3 linked regions of the Xenopus tropicalis genome follow. The protein of the gene in region 1 binds, or shares a complex with, the protein of each later gene. Links are inferred from orthologs where the notes say so. Each region holds a gene or a part of one and is shown on either strand. Other genes may lie near its edges.

Region 1 (3,500 bases):
AGACAATAGATGGTTGCATTGACCATCTAAAACACAGTACTCTGGTAGCTGCCATTGTTTATTACTTTGGATATTCCAGAGTCTTAATTTTATCTGCGCTGTTACAAATGATTATGTATTTCCATTGAAGTCTAAGGAGACTGCTTCTGAAAAAGATATGATATGTGGAGAATCATTTCTGCCACTGTACGTCATCTGACAAACACCAGAAAATGCTGTGTTACTAAAATATGTAAATATGTTTCTAAAAACAAAAGCAACAAAAAAGATACAATGCACTTTTATATGTGGGCTACAATGTTTACTGAATACTCTTTGTTTTTCAGTTGCCGTTATCATTGTTAAAAACTGCTCAGAATCACCCAATGGTAAGTTAATGGGTTGTAACTGAATTTTGCCAAGTACCTTTATTATGGAACTATATTATGTACATTTTCTTTGCATGTAAGAGACATACTTTAATTTAAAACACTTTGCATTCTTCTTTTCATAGTACATTTCTAGTTATTGCAGGAAAGAGCACAGATCCTTAACTAAACAGTCACCACGTGAAGGAACAAAAATTGTTATATCTGCCACACCATATGAAACATCGTTACTAAGTACAACAGAGATGTTTTTTCACTAAGCGGCTGTTTTATTTTATATGGCAGTGGGTCCCAAATGCAGGTACACTGCAGTGTAAAACGTAAATGACTTTGACAGGAATCGGTGAAAAAAATATGTGCTTTTATCTTGCTAAAGAATGTACCAATTAGATTTGGGATTATTGGGATTAAATCCCAACCAACCATAGATACAGCCAACACGAAACAAGAAAATCTAACAATCACAGTCATCTGATGGAGTCAGCCAATTTGAAGTTTGCAAATGTTGGTGTCTTTTAATTTAATAATTGCTTGGGACATGCACATGCTTTCAGTTGAGGAGACACCTCTCATCCAGACAGTCTTATTTGATTTTCACTTAACTGAGCGGATTTGACTAAATAGATTTGAGTTTTACAATTTTCGTGAGGTGTGTGTGTGTGTGTATATATATATATATATATATATATATATATATATATATATATATATATATATATATATATATAAAATAAAGCAGGGATACATATGCCTCAGTTTATCTTCTTTTAGGGCTTACAGAAAGAGTATTACACCTTAAATACTATAAAACTATAAAATAAATCTGTTGAATCACCTATCAGTTTGAGTATTATTCAGATGTGTATGTGTGTATACATGCACATACACAAACACACTTTACACCGTTATAAGAAATATGATAGGCTAATATGTATCATGCTTTTGGTGTACCACGATTGTTGTTAAAGTGAAACCAATTACATCCTGGTTCAATTTTATACTTAATGTGATTGTGTGATTAATTACTCATTTGACACTGCTTTTTCGATTTTCAGTTGGTGGAATTAAAGAATGGTGAAACATACAACGGTCATTTAGTGAGCTGTGACAACTGGATGAACATCAATCTAAGAGAAGTTATTTGTACTTCACGGGTATGTTTTATTTAACTTGGGAGAACTTTCTTTGATAGCAAGGTGTCCACTATAATAATAATAAATAAAAACTACAACTTACACTGGGTTAATCAGCACCACTGATTGAGACTACTTTTCTATTTTTTTTCAACAGTGGTATATGTTGCACTTCCAATCACCATCCTCTTAGTACAGCTTAGATTGCTTGTTTGGCTTACAAGATTCAGTACTACTTACAGGGTTTGGTTTCCTAAATTTGCCTGTCATTTAGTTGCAGTACCTACTTTTATATCAATATATGCAAGTAAAATAGCAAAGTGCCACTATTACTTATTCCCCTTAGTGCAGTGCACCATTTGTGTAATTAGCAATTGTCTTTTCCTGTTCTTCAAAATTGCTCTCTCCTGATCACTCCTGTGTCTGACTTCCATGTCCCAAGTGCAGTTCTTGGCTTAGTTAGATGCAGTGCAATCCTCTGAAAAATGTGCAAGAAAGTGTCAGGGGTGAAGCATGTGGTGGCCAATGGGCATTCCTCTGCCAGCTGAAATATTAATTGATTGCAATGTTTTCAGCCATCTTTTATATGTTTTGTAAATAAAATGCTACCAGTCCCTACTTTATACATGCCTTTACTATCCCCAGAAGCCCAAATAAAAGAAACTTCAGGTATTTAAAAAAAAAAAAAAAATGTTGTGCTTTCTTCAAAATAAGTCACATTTTTAATAGTGCAAACCTTTTCCTGAAAACCCCAAGTTCGACAAGCATTTAATATAATAGATCCTATGCCTGCATAACTAATCTGTAGTAATTATTAATTTTTATTTAAAGGGAGCATTAATATTCTATAATACATAAAATCACCTAATACTTGCACTTGTAAACCACATGCTGTTTTGAAATCAGGAATCTTATACATTGCTAATCCCACATGAGAGTGGAGAAGCCGCATGCTGAATGTGTTTTTTTTGAAGAAAGCATTACAGCATCTTGTTTTGTATCATGTTATGCTTGGAGAAAGGAATATAGCACTTAACACACAGGTAAATCTGTGTATGTATATTTCCATGGTTCTGGACGCACACAGAATTGTTTTGCAACACCCAGGTGTTAACAATATTGTACTAGGTTCTGTTATTTGTTCTTTTCCATAGCCTGTGGCATTGATCTTCATTTTGTCTTGAATTGGTGATTCAGTGAAGGAACTGTGAAACAGATGGGCAAAGTAAAAATTCTGAGGGTTTACTTTCCCTTTCCCAAAAACTGAAACACTGAAAGAATTTAGTAGAAATGCATGTGTTGTTTTGAAGGATATTTTGTTACGGAAAAGTTGGAATGATATCTGCAAGCTTGTGATAGTCCCATTCCTTTAACTGAACTGATCTGTAAATTTGAAATGTAAAAGTGCAGCACAGACAGCTGGCGAAATACTCTCAGAGAAGATGAAACAAATACTTTTGGCACATGTTAAAACACAATCACAAGCAAATTGCTACAATCTGTTCTTGGATACATTATACTAACCAAATGTAAATTTGTCTCTGAATAAGGTCAGCACAGTGCCTTGCAAAAGTATTGAGACCCTTGTCCAATTTTTATTAACTGGATAACAAAGCCAGCATTGACATTTTGTTTTGGAAATGTAAGTCTTTGTGAGATTTCTCTCTTGCAGCTTAAGCCTTTTTCAGGTGGGTTCCAGCTCTGCATATTTTTGGGACATATTTTGACCCATTGTTTTAACTAGTGTACCCGATGTTTAGTTATATTGAGTGATCTGTTAAGTGGGCCTGTTGTCGCATAGTCACTTTTTAATTTTTGAGTCTCGGTGTTACTTGGAATTGTTTCGCCTAAACATTATACCTGTGGCACACGGTGAATATTCTCCTATTAGCTGAACTAATTTACCTAAATGACTCGCTGCACAGGCATGTTTTGGTACTTCCCTGCTGGCTGAAAAACATGTTTTAGCAGCCTAAAATAGGTACTCTTGCAGTTCAAG
Region 2 (4,102 bases), on another chromosome or scaffold:
AAAGTTGGATTTTTATTTTGTTCATGCACTTACATCTGACAGTCAATGTATTACATTGAGAGAAAAAGAAGTCTTTCCAACACCATCAGTTTTTATCCTTGTGGCTGCAGGAGCAGCATGCAGCATTCCCTTCCGACAGACGTGGTGTTGGATGGCAAAAGTTACTACCTCACGTTTTTGTATCAGTCATTATATTTTGACCCACGTGATTACCAATCCACAGGTAAGCCCTTGACATAATTATTTGCTCTTTATCTCAAAGCTTAAAAAAGGCAGCAGTTGAGAAAAACTAAATGAAGGCTTAGGTAAACAGAAGGTTTCTAAGTGATCTTAGCAGGAAGTTGGGAACTGGTTCTGGAAATTTCAGAATGTTAGGTTTCAAAACATTGAGTTTTAGTAAGCAAATGACACACTGTCACTCTACATGCAGAAATCTTGAAATTAGGTAGAAGTTTTAATGACAGTTACAAAAACTAAACTTTTTTGTAGCAGCAGAGACTTTGAATGAATCATGCTGAATTTTTAAAGTTTAAATACAAGTAGTTAAAAAAAAGGTGACTAATATCAATCATCTATGGCCCTCAACACTATGCTCATGTAATGTGCAGGAACCAAGCAAACTGTGCAGTTGTTCAACACCTTGGAGGGCAGGCAAGCAGCATAATGCCTCTAAAGTACAGTATCAAGGGGTGGCTTACAAATTCTTGTCCTCTAAGATAAAACAATATTTATGAGTTTTGTAATTGAACACTACCCTACAAAAAATTAAAACAGAAATATATAATTTTCTGGATAAAGTATATCCCCTATAAATGCTAATGTTTAGGTACAGAAGTGACTGCAATCCTTTCCCCTTTTAGTTAAACAAAACACAGGCCAGAGGTACTTTCATGCCTCCTAAGAGCTGATTCAAGCTGAGCACCTGCTACATACAAAAACATCTGAAAAAGTTCTATACTTCGAATGTACTCGTCTAAGTTGGCACCTGGGCCCCCGTAATTTGTTCTGTATTGATCGGGGCTCCTATTAATTTACCTAAACGTGAGTGGTTGAAGTGGATGGTTAATATGCTGTACAGAGTCCAGAGCTGCTGGTTATTCTACATCTGACAAAATACCCGGCCAATTAGCAATCGCAATGAAGCCAAGCCGATTTTTTGAACATTCATTATTCTGGCGCAACAACAACTTTTGCAATCATTGCTTTGAAACATTCTTCTAGCCACGCCCACGTCCCCTGTTCGCTCTCTTCCGCCATATAAGGCCTTTTTCTGCTCGTCTGTTGATTAATCTTCCCTAACCAGGAAGTTTTTAGCGCTTGCGCTCGACTGCATAATGAGATCGGCAATCGATTGCTCTAGGTAGGTGACAGCGGGAGATTACGAAAACAGGAGGAAATCCGAAGTAAGGAATATCAAAGATGGCGGCTACCGTGACTCCCAATCCGTCGCAGCTTCTCCCGCTCGGTAAGGACTCTAGGAAATATGTGACTAGATCTATTCCAGTTCGAGACCTTTAGTGTGCAGTTACTAATTGGCTTTTATCTTCAATGGCGCTGTCCTATTTCATGCGACATGCTTTCTTTGAACTCATATTTGTTGTAGAATTCTGATATGTATGTGGCTTACTAGGGTTGTGAAGTACAGATGTAGTGTACCTGGAGTTAGCACTGTTGCTTGGGTTAAACAGCACCTGCTAGGTGACGTGCTTTAGGTTATCGGGCAAATGATGGAGCCGCATGGCAGCCCTGCGTTAGACAATTTATATTTTATACTGAACCTTTTAATTGTAAGCAGATAAAAAAAGAACAGAATTATTTTCTAGTTGATTTTTAGTTTACCTAGGAAAACTGTACATCATTCTTTTCTTGAGAACCTGAGCTCTAAATCTGAGTTTTTGTGTATTTCCACTTCTGGAACAAGATTTAGAGCTCTAAAGGCAAATAAAAGAAAAAAAAAAAAATATGATTATAGGGATTTATACCAGAAAAATCTTTTATTTTATGGATAAAATTTCAACTTATTCAGAAAGCCTAATATCTCTTGAATGTGCCTATACTAGGTATGTATAATTTTATGGAGATGTCTGACTTCTATAGATCGAAAACTCCCAGCAGTAAGTTATTGAAAAAAGTGTTACAGCAGAATAGGGCATACTTTAGATTCCATAGCCAAAAATCCTGAAACATTAGGTTTACCCCAGGATACCATTTATATTTTTTAAAAGTGCACATTCAACCAAATCCGAAATAGATAACCGTGTCTTTCTACTCTAAATGACTCCAAGGGGCTGATTTACTAATCCACGAACGGTCCGAAAGTGTCCGAATGCGTTTTTTTCGTAATGGTCTGTATTTTGCGATTTTTTTCGTAAATTGTCGCGACTTTTTCGTAGCCGTTACGACTGTTTCGCAAATTGTTGTGACTTTTTCGTTGCGTTACGACTTGCGCGAATTGTCACAACTTTTTCGTAGCCTTCGCGCCGAGTACGAAAGTTTCGGATTCATTCAAGCTTCAGTATCGTGACTTTTCTTGGGCCAGGTTGGAGCTGCAGAGTCCTATGGGAGGCTTCCAAAATCATGCTAAGTCTGAAAGTTTTGCCCGCAGTTTACGAGCGCTCAATACGAAAAAGTCGCGACAAGATACGAGCAAATCGTAACGGCTACGAAAAAGTCATGACAATTTGCGCAAGTCGTAACGGCTACGAAAAAGTTGCGACAATTTACGAAAAAGTCGTAACGGCGACGAAAAAATCGCAAAAAATACGAAAAAGTTGCAAAATGTTCGTTTTCCAATCGGAATTTTTCCCATTTGGATTCGTGGGTTAGTAAATCAGCCCCCAAGTGTCCGAGATGAAATAGAAATGTTCATCTCTGATACTGGCTGCTGCAATAGAAGCACCCGGTATGTGTATTATGTACCATAAGACGTCCTAACAATACGGAGCCCCTCGAAAACCGTATATTTTCCGAAAGTACATATTTTTATTAAGGCAAAAATGGCTAAATACATCTTTCTACTGCAAACTACCAAACAAAACTATGCTTTTTTTCTTTTTTTTTTTTTTTATTCCTGAAGGTTTAAATCAGTGGTTTTCAGACTTAGGTTTAGTCGCCCTCTTTCCTTTCAGTTATGCAGCTTAAGATCCAAGTACATTCAAATACATTTTTATACTAAAATGTGCTTTTAGTCTGAAGTTCAAAAAATATTTGACAGGCGATAAGTATTTACCACCACAATTTAGAAACCTTTGATTGTTCAAGTTTTACTTTCAAACCTAATTAATATATACACAATGTAAAATTATTTTTTGTATTTTAACATGTATTTTTACTTTATTTTTGCCTTATTTTAAAGTGTATTCTTAATTTTTTTTTTATTTCTGATCTTGCAGAGCTTGTGGACAAGTGCATAGGATCTCGCATTCATATTGTTATGAAGAGTGATAAAGAAATTGTTGGAACACTTCTTGGCTTTGATGATTTTGTCAGTATCCTTTGTCTGCTTACGCTTAGTTTTTTGTTTATTGCTTCAGTTATACTAATTTAGAATGTACCAAAATAAAATACCGATTTACCATCAGCAATAGACTCCATTCAGCATTCTAGATCAGCGTTTTTCAACCACTGTTTGTGCCGCGAGATGTTGCCTGGTGTGCCGTAGGCAGGGCCGCAATTTTTACTTTAAAAAAAAAATCCGGGCCCTGTCATTGGTTGCGCCCCGTGTGTACGGGTGACGTCAGTACGCACGGGGCGCAACGTTATAAAAGGGCCTGTGTGCGGTCGCGTGTAGGCAGAAGTGCAGAGGCGGCGCGCGTGAGGGGAAGATGCTGCTGAAGCCGCCGAAGAGTAAAATGCTGCTGGGCACCAATGTATTAGGGGGGGCCACGGGGCACACTGACTTATGGGGGCACTGCTGCTGGGCACCAATGTACTAGGGGGGCACTGCTGCTGGGCACCAATGTACTAGGGGGGCACTGCTGCTGGGCACCAATGTACTAGGGGGGCACTGCTGCTGGGCACCAATGTACTAGGGGGGCACTGCTGCTGGGCACCAATGTACTAGGGGGGCACTGCTGCTGGGCACCAATGTACTAGGGGGGCA
Region 3 (4,091 bases), about 11 Mb from region 1:
TTTAACAAGTCATAAATCATGGTCTGCTATATCATAACACATTTTCAGAGTTAATTGTACTACATTTCTTGCCCACCATCACTTGGAAGTATTCATATTCTTCAGACAGAAGAACACAAAGTAGGGCCTACAACAGACCCTATATCTCAGATATCAATACTGGCTCAATCAGGTCAATTCGTAGCAGGAAATATTTATTCAACAATCTATACGAATTTAATGACTGTCACTAGGAAGCCCGTGACAGCAAACTCCAGTTAAATATTTAAATACTGCGTATAGGAAGCTTCTGGGGATCAGCAAAGCGTGTGTACACAGAAAAAGTCAGGAATTCGGAACAAGGTGGAAAATCATGGATGGGCGGGGCTTTCAGAAGGTATAAAAAAATTAAAGTGAATTTTCGAAAAACAGCAGCACCTTCAATATACAGGTGGCAATGGCGAAAATAAGGTAAATAAAACGCGTAAAAATGATGTTCTGCATTATGAAAATGTAATTGAATATCACTCACCTCTGTTACAAACAAACCCCATAACAGGAAAATCAAAAGAAGCTTCATTTTTCCAGGTCACGAGCCTTAGCAAAGCAACACTCAAACCGCCAAGCACCATTTGTTAACTGTTACTCAGCGCCATCTCCTGGGCCTGCGCACTACATCCAAGTCTTCAGGTTATCCTCCCATTCGCAATGTATTAGTGACAGGTCCCAAAGGCCAAGCCCCATAGTAGAGCAGTTCAATAGAAAGCTGTAATGAAAATGGTAGATGACTACAGGATGTGACGTAACTACGCACGCTACACGCCATATTTGTTTATGGAAAAGTGATTCCAGAAAAAAGTGAAAGGGTGAAAAAAAAAAAAAACGCCCGCCCCACAGGCATAATATTTTTTACAGAGTGTGGGTAATTCAAAATGACTTAATCCATCATATAATTTTGCGATTTGTAGACAGAAAATAAGTTACCATTCACAACTATTTATTAAATTAGGGTTATACACCTAGTCACGGCGACATTATAATTGTCGAGGGCAGTCAATAAAGCTATTTAAAAAAAAAGAGAAAAAAAAGTAGACTCTTCCAAACCAGTTAAAGTCGTAGGGGGTGTGAATGAAATTCCTCAGTGAAAATAAAAAATACATAGCGAAGCACTTTCTTAAGAAAACTTTTAACGTGCTTAACTAGTTTAGTCTAGTACTTCATAAGGATGGAAGAGAGAAGTTAGGAGGAGCAAAAAAATTAATCATAATTAGGTGTACAGGTGCCCCCAGAGCTGATTAAAATGGGTACGCCTGCCCCTAGGAACAGAGGCGCGGGAAGATGGCGGTGAGTGTGTAGAATTTAGTGAGCTTTCGTCCGGTAGAGTTGGTCAGTCATATATAGTGGATTATGGAACGTTTTTTCTTTTTATTGCGTAGCGGGTACCCATGATTAGAACATATTGCTAAAGACTGTAAAACAGTGGGAGGTGATTAAGAGGAACCGTAATTATGCGTCCTATCACATCCACTTAAGACGCCGCGCACGCGGCAAAGTACTCATGCGATGAGGTATATTCGCAGCCGTGTGTTTCTTCTTTTTATGAGCTGGGTTATCCAAAGTGTTGTATATAAAGTGGTCAGTAAACAACTCTTAATTATATCCGAATTAAATGTAGTTCCAGGGAAGGAGAGGCAAGGAGCCCTAGGAGAGTCATGATACAGATCTAATGACAAACTGATCAAAACAATTGTTTGAATGGTGCTCCTTTCCCCCCCCCTCTTAAATGAAGACAATACCCCCCATACATTGTAGGTCTCTATAAAATATATTGCATGAACAAGCTGAAATGTAAAACTCTGCTTTATCTAAAACCATTTTCATAAAAATATACTTTTTTTTTTTTTTTTTTAAGCAGATTGTGCTATTGGGTACTCCTAAGTAGAAGATAGCCATTTTAAGAATTAAGGATTGCATAGGATTCACAGTGTACAAAAAATGCAGAGACACACACACACACACATGCTAGGTCACATCAGCCAATGAATGGACATAGTTTTGTCTTTTGCTTCCAAACCTTTCCCTGTTAGAGCTGCATTATTTCTGGTCATGTGATCTCTGAGGGAGCACACAGCCCATCACTAAATGGTGGCTCAAGGGAAAAGATATAAAAGGCCAATATTTACAGATATATTCCAGTTTTGCGAGATTCTTTAATAGGTCACTTAACATAACCAAAAGATTATATTTGTTTTTTATTAAGTATTCATTCTGGGGGTATAGTTTTCTTTAACCTTATCTGAGCTTTAAAACTTTTGGAGCCATATTTTCTCAAATCCTCTTACTATATAGCCTAGTATTGCTCTTAGCAGCTCTAAATGTATAAACATATTTGATTGTTTTTCCCCAGGACAAAGAGAAAAAGAAAAAGGAAAGCATTCTAGACCTCTCCAAATACATAGACAAGGCAATTCGAGTAAAGTTTCAGGGTGGAAGAGAAGGTATGCTTTCTAAATGTGAATTTCTAAAGAATTCTACTTTGCCATGCATTCTTAAAACAATTATTACTACAAAGTACTGCTACTAAAGCTTTGCCATACGTTATAAGATTCACTTGTTTGACAAGGTCGCTGAATGAGTGTGTCTTTCACTGATATGGACCTTAAGGTGGGCAAAATTGGGCTGATTGTATCAAAATTGTCTCTATGCAGGCAAGTAACTAGGACTACAGCAATCACAGATGTAGTCCTTGATTCAACAGGAAAATCAAACCTGCAATCTACATTTTGTCTGTATACAGTATGCTACAGTATGCAAGACGTGGCAGTTATGCTGTAGCTTAAGTACTTGAATTACTTCCAGAATAGTTGCTGTGTGCTACAATTTCAGAGATAAGTTAGTAACTTAGGTTGGAACATATTCAGAACATATTCAACCTTTTATGTCTAAATGAAACCTTTCTAACTGCTAATTGCTCCAGTTTTGTAAATTCCCACTATTGTTATCAGATCACATGAAAAATATGCACATTTTTAATAAATCCAAATTGTTAGGGCTGTTTATTTGCAAAGTGATTGCATTTTAATTAATGCAGCTGGATGTTCCTGACTTGTCTCTGATTTTTCAACTTTAGGTCTTCTAAGGTAAAGACCTACATTTTTTCATCTGTGCATTTCTTTGCAGCAAAAGATACTATCCTTTATTTTGTGCAATAGAAAATGGAGAGAGGTGCTGCAGGGGTTGCTTCCTCCTTAGGCAGCAGGGCTGATGTTCCTTCCCCAACCACCCTCACTCTTTTTACTTTTGTGCATTGCTTCCCCTGGTAGCCTGCCATACACTGCCATTGGTTGGCAAGTTTCTCACATATTAGGCACCCACTCCTAGTAAGTATAATTACTAACTTTCAAACCCAAGCCAGTGCTCCTCCAGCCTGGAGTACATTCCCTGTAAGTGCCGCCATCTTTTATCAGTCTTCCAGGATTTTTTAAAACCCTGCTTCATCTTCAGTAAACCTTCATCTAAATAAATGGTACAATCCAAAAGTTACGAAATTTTCGTATCCGAACGAAACAATCCGGCGCAAAAAACTTTCTGACTTTGAACCTTCAATGCATGATTTTGGAAGCCTCCCACAGGACTCAATGGCACTCTGCAGCTTGAATGAATTTCAAAACTTTTGTAGTCGTTGCGATAATTTCGATTTTGTCTCACAAATTTATTCAAAGCACAAAAAAGTTGCGGAAATTAACAAAAATATTGTGGAAAATACACAAAGTTCTATAAATTAGAAAAAATACAAATTTTTTGTAATCGTACCCATTCAGACTTTGATAAATCTGCCCCAGTGTGTTCACATACTTTTTTTGTGTGCGCCACAATTTGTTGTGTGTGTAGGGCTTAAAATGTATGTGTGGATCCTCCTCCAGCTCTAGGTAATTTTAATAAACCAAGTGCATTTTTCATTTTAAATATTTTTATTCAAATAAAAAATCTTAATGTATAGCCAATGCATAGGGAAATGTAAAGGGAGTGATTCTTATTTTAAGGGGAACACCTTTTATTCTGGTTCTCAAAATTATTGTCCAGCAGTGCTAGCAGGAACTTTGTATATAAAT

The links.
Region 2: lsm4 (region 1) and lsm5 share a complex: the UniProt entries of both Homo sapiens proteins name them as parts of the precatalytic spliceosome. The link is inferred for Xenopus tropicalis from reciprocal best matches to the Homo sapiens genes LSM4 and LSM5.
Region 3: lsm4 (region 1) and lsm7 share a complex: the UniProt entries of both Homo sapiens proteins name them as parts of the precatalytic spliceosome. The link is inferred for Xenopus tropicalis from reciprocal best matches to the Homo sapiens genes LSM4 and LSM7.

What each region holds. Positions count from the first base shown.
Region 1 is NC_030677.2:103,369,242-103,372,741, forward strand, and holds part of lsm4 (U6 snRNA-associated Sm-like protein LSm4), read left to right. Parts: intron 1-326; coding exon 327-368; intron 369-1,423; coding exon 1,424-1,522; intron 1,523-3,500. UniProt on the Homo sapiens protein: Plays a role in pre-mRNA splicing as component of the U4/U6-U5 tri-snRNP complex that is involved in spliceosome assembly, and as component of the precatalytic spliceosome (spliceosome B complex).
Region 2 is NC_030682.2:61,893,525-61,897,626, reverse strand, and holds the start of lsm5 (U6 snRNA-associated Sm-like protein LSm5), read left to right. Parts: upstream 1-1,302; 5' UTR 1,303-1,419; coding exon 1,420-1,465; intron 1,466-3,392; coding exon 3,393-3,488; intron 3,489-4,102. UniProt on the Homo sapiens protein: Plays a role in pre-mRNA splicing as component of the U4/U6-U5 tri-snRNP complex that is involved in spliceosome assembly, and as component of the precatalytic spliceosome (spliceosome B complex).
Region 3 is NC_030677.2:92,742,502-92,746,592, reverse strand, and holds the start of lsm7 (U6 snRNA-associated Sm-like protein LSm7), read left to right. Parts: upstream 1-1,291; 5' UTR 1,292-1,317; coding exon 1,318-1,323; intron 1,324-1,527; exon of another isoform or gene 1,528-1,542; coding exon of another isoform or gene 1,543-1,614; intron 1,615-2,386; coding exon 2,387-2,477; intron 2,478-4,091. Other genes in the region: sppl2b (signal peptide peptidase-like 2B), read right to left, coding at 512-559. UniProt on the Homo sapiens protein: Plays a role in pre-mRNA splicing as component of the U4/U6-U5 tri-snRNP complex that is involved in spliceosome assembly, and as component of the precatalytic spliceosome (spliceosome B complex).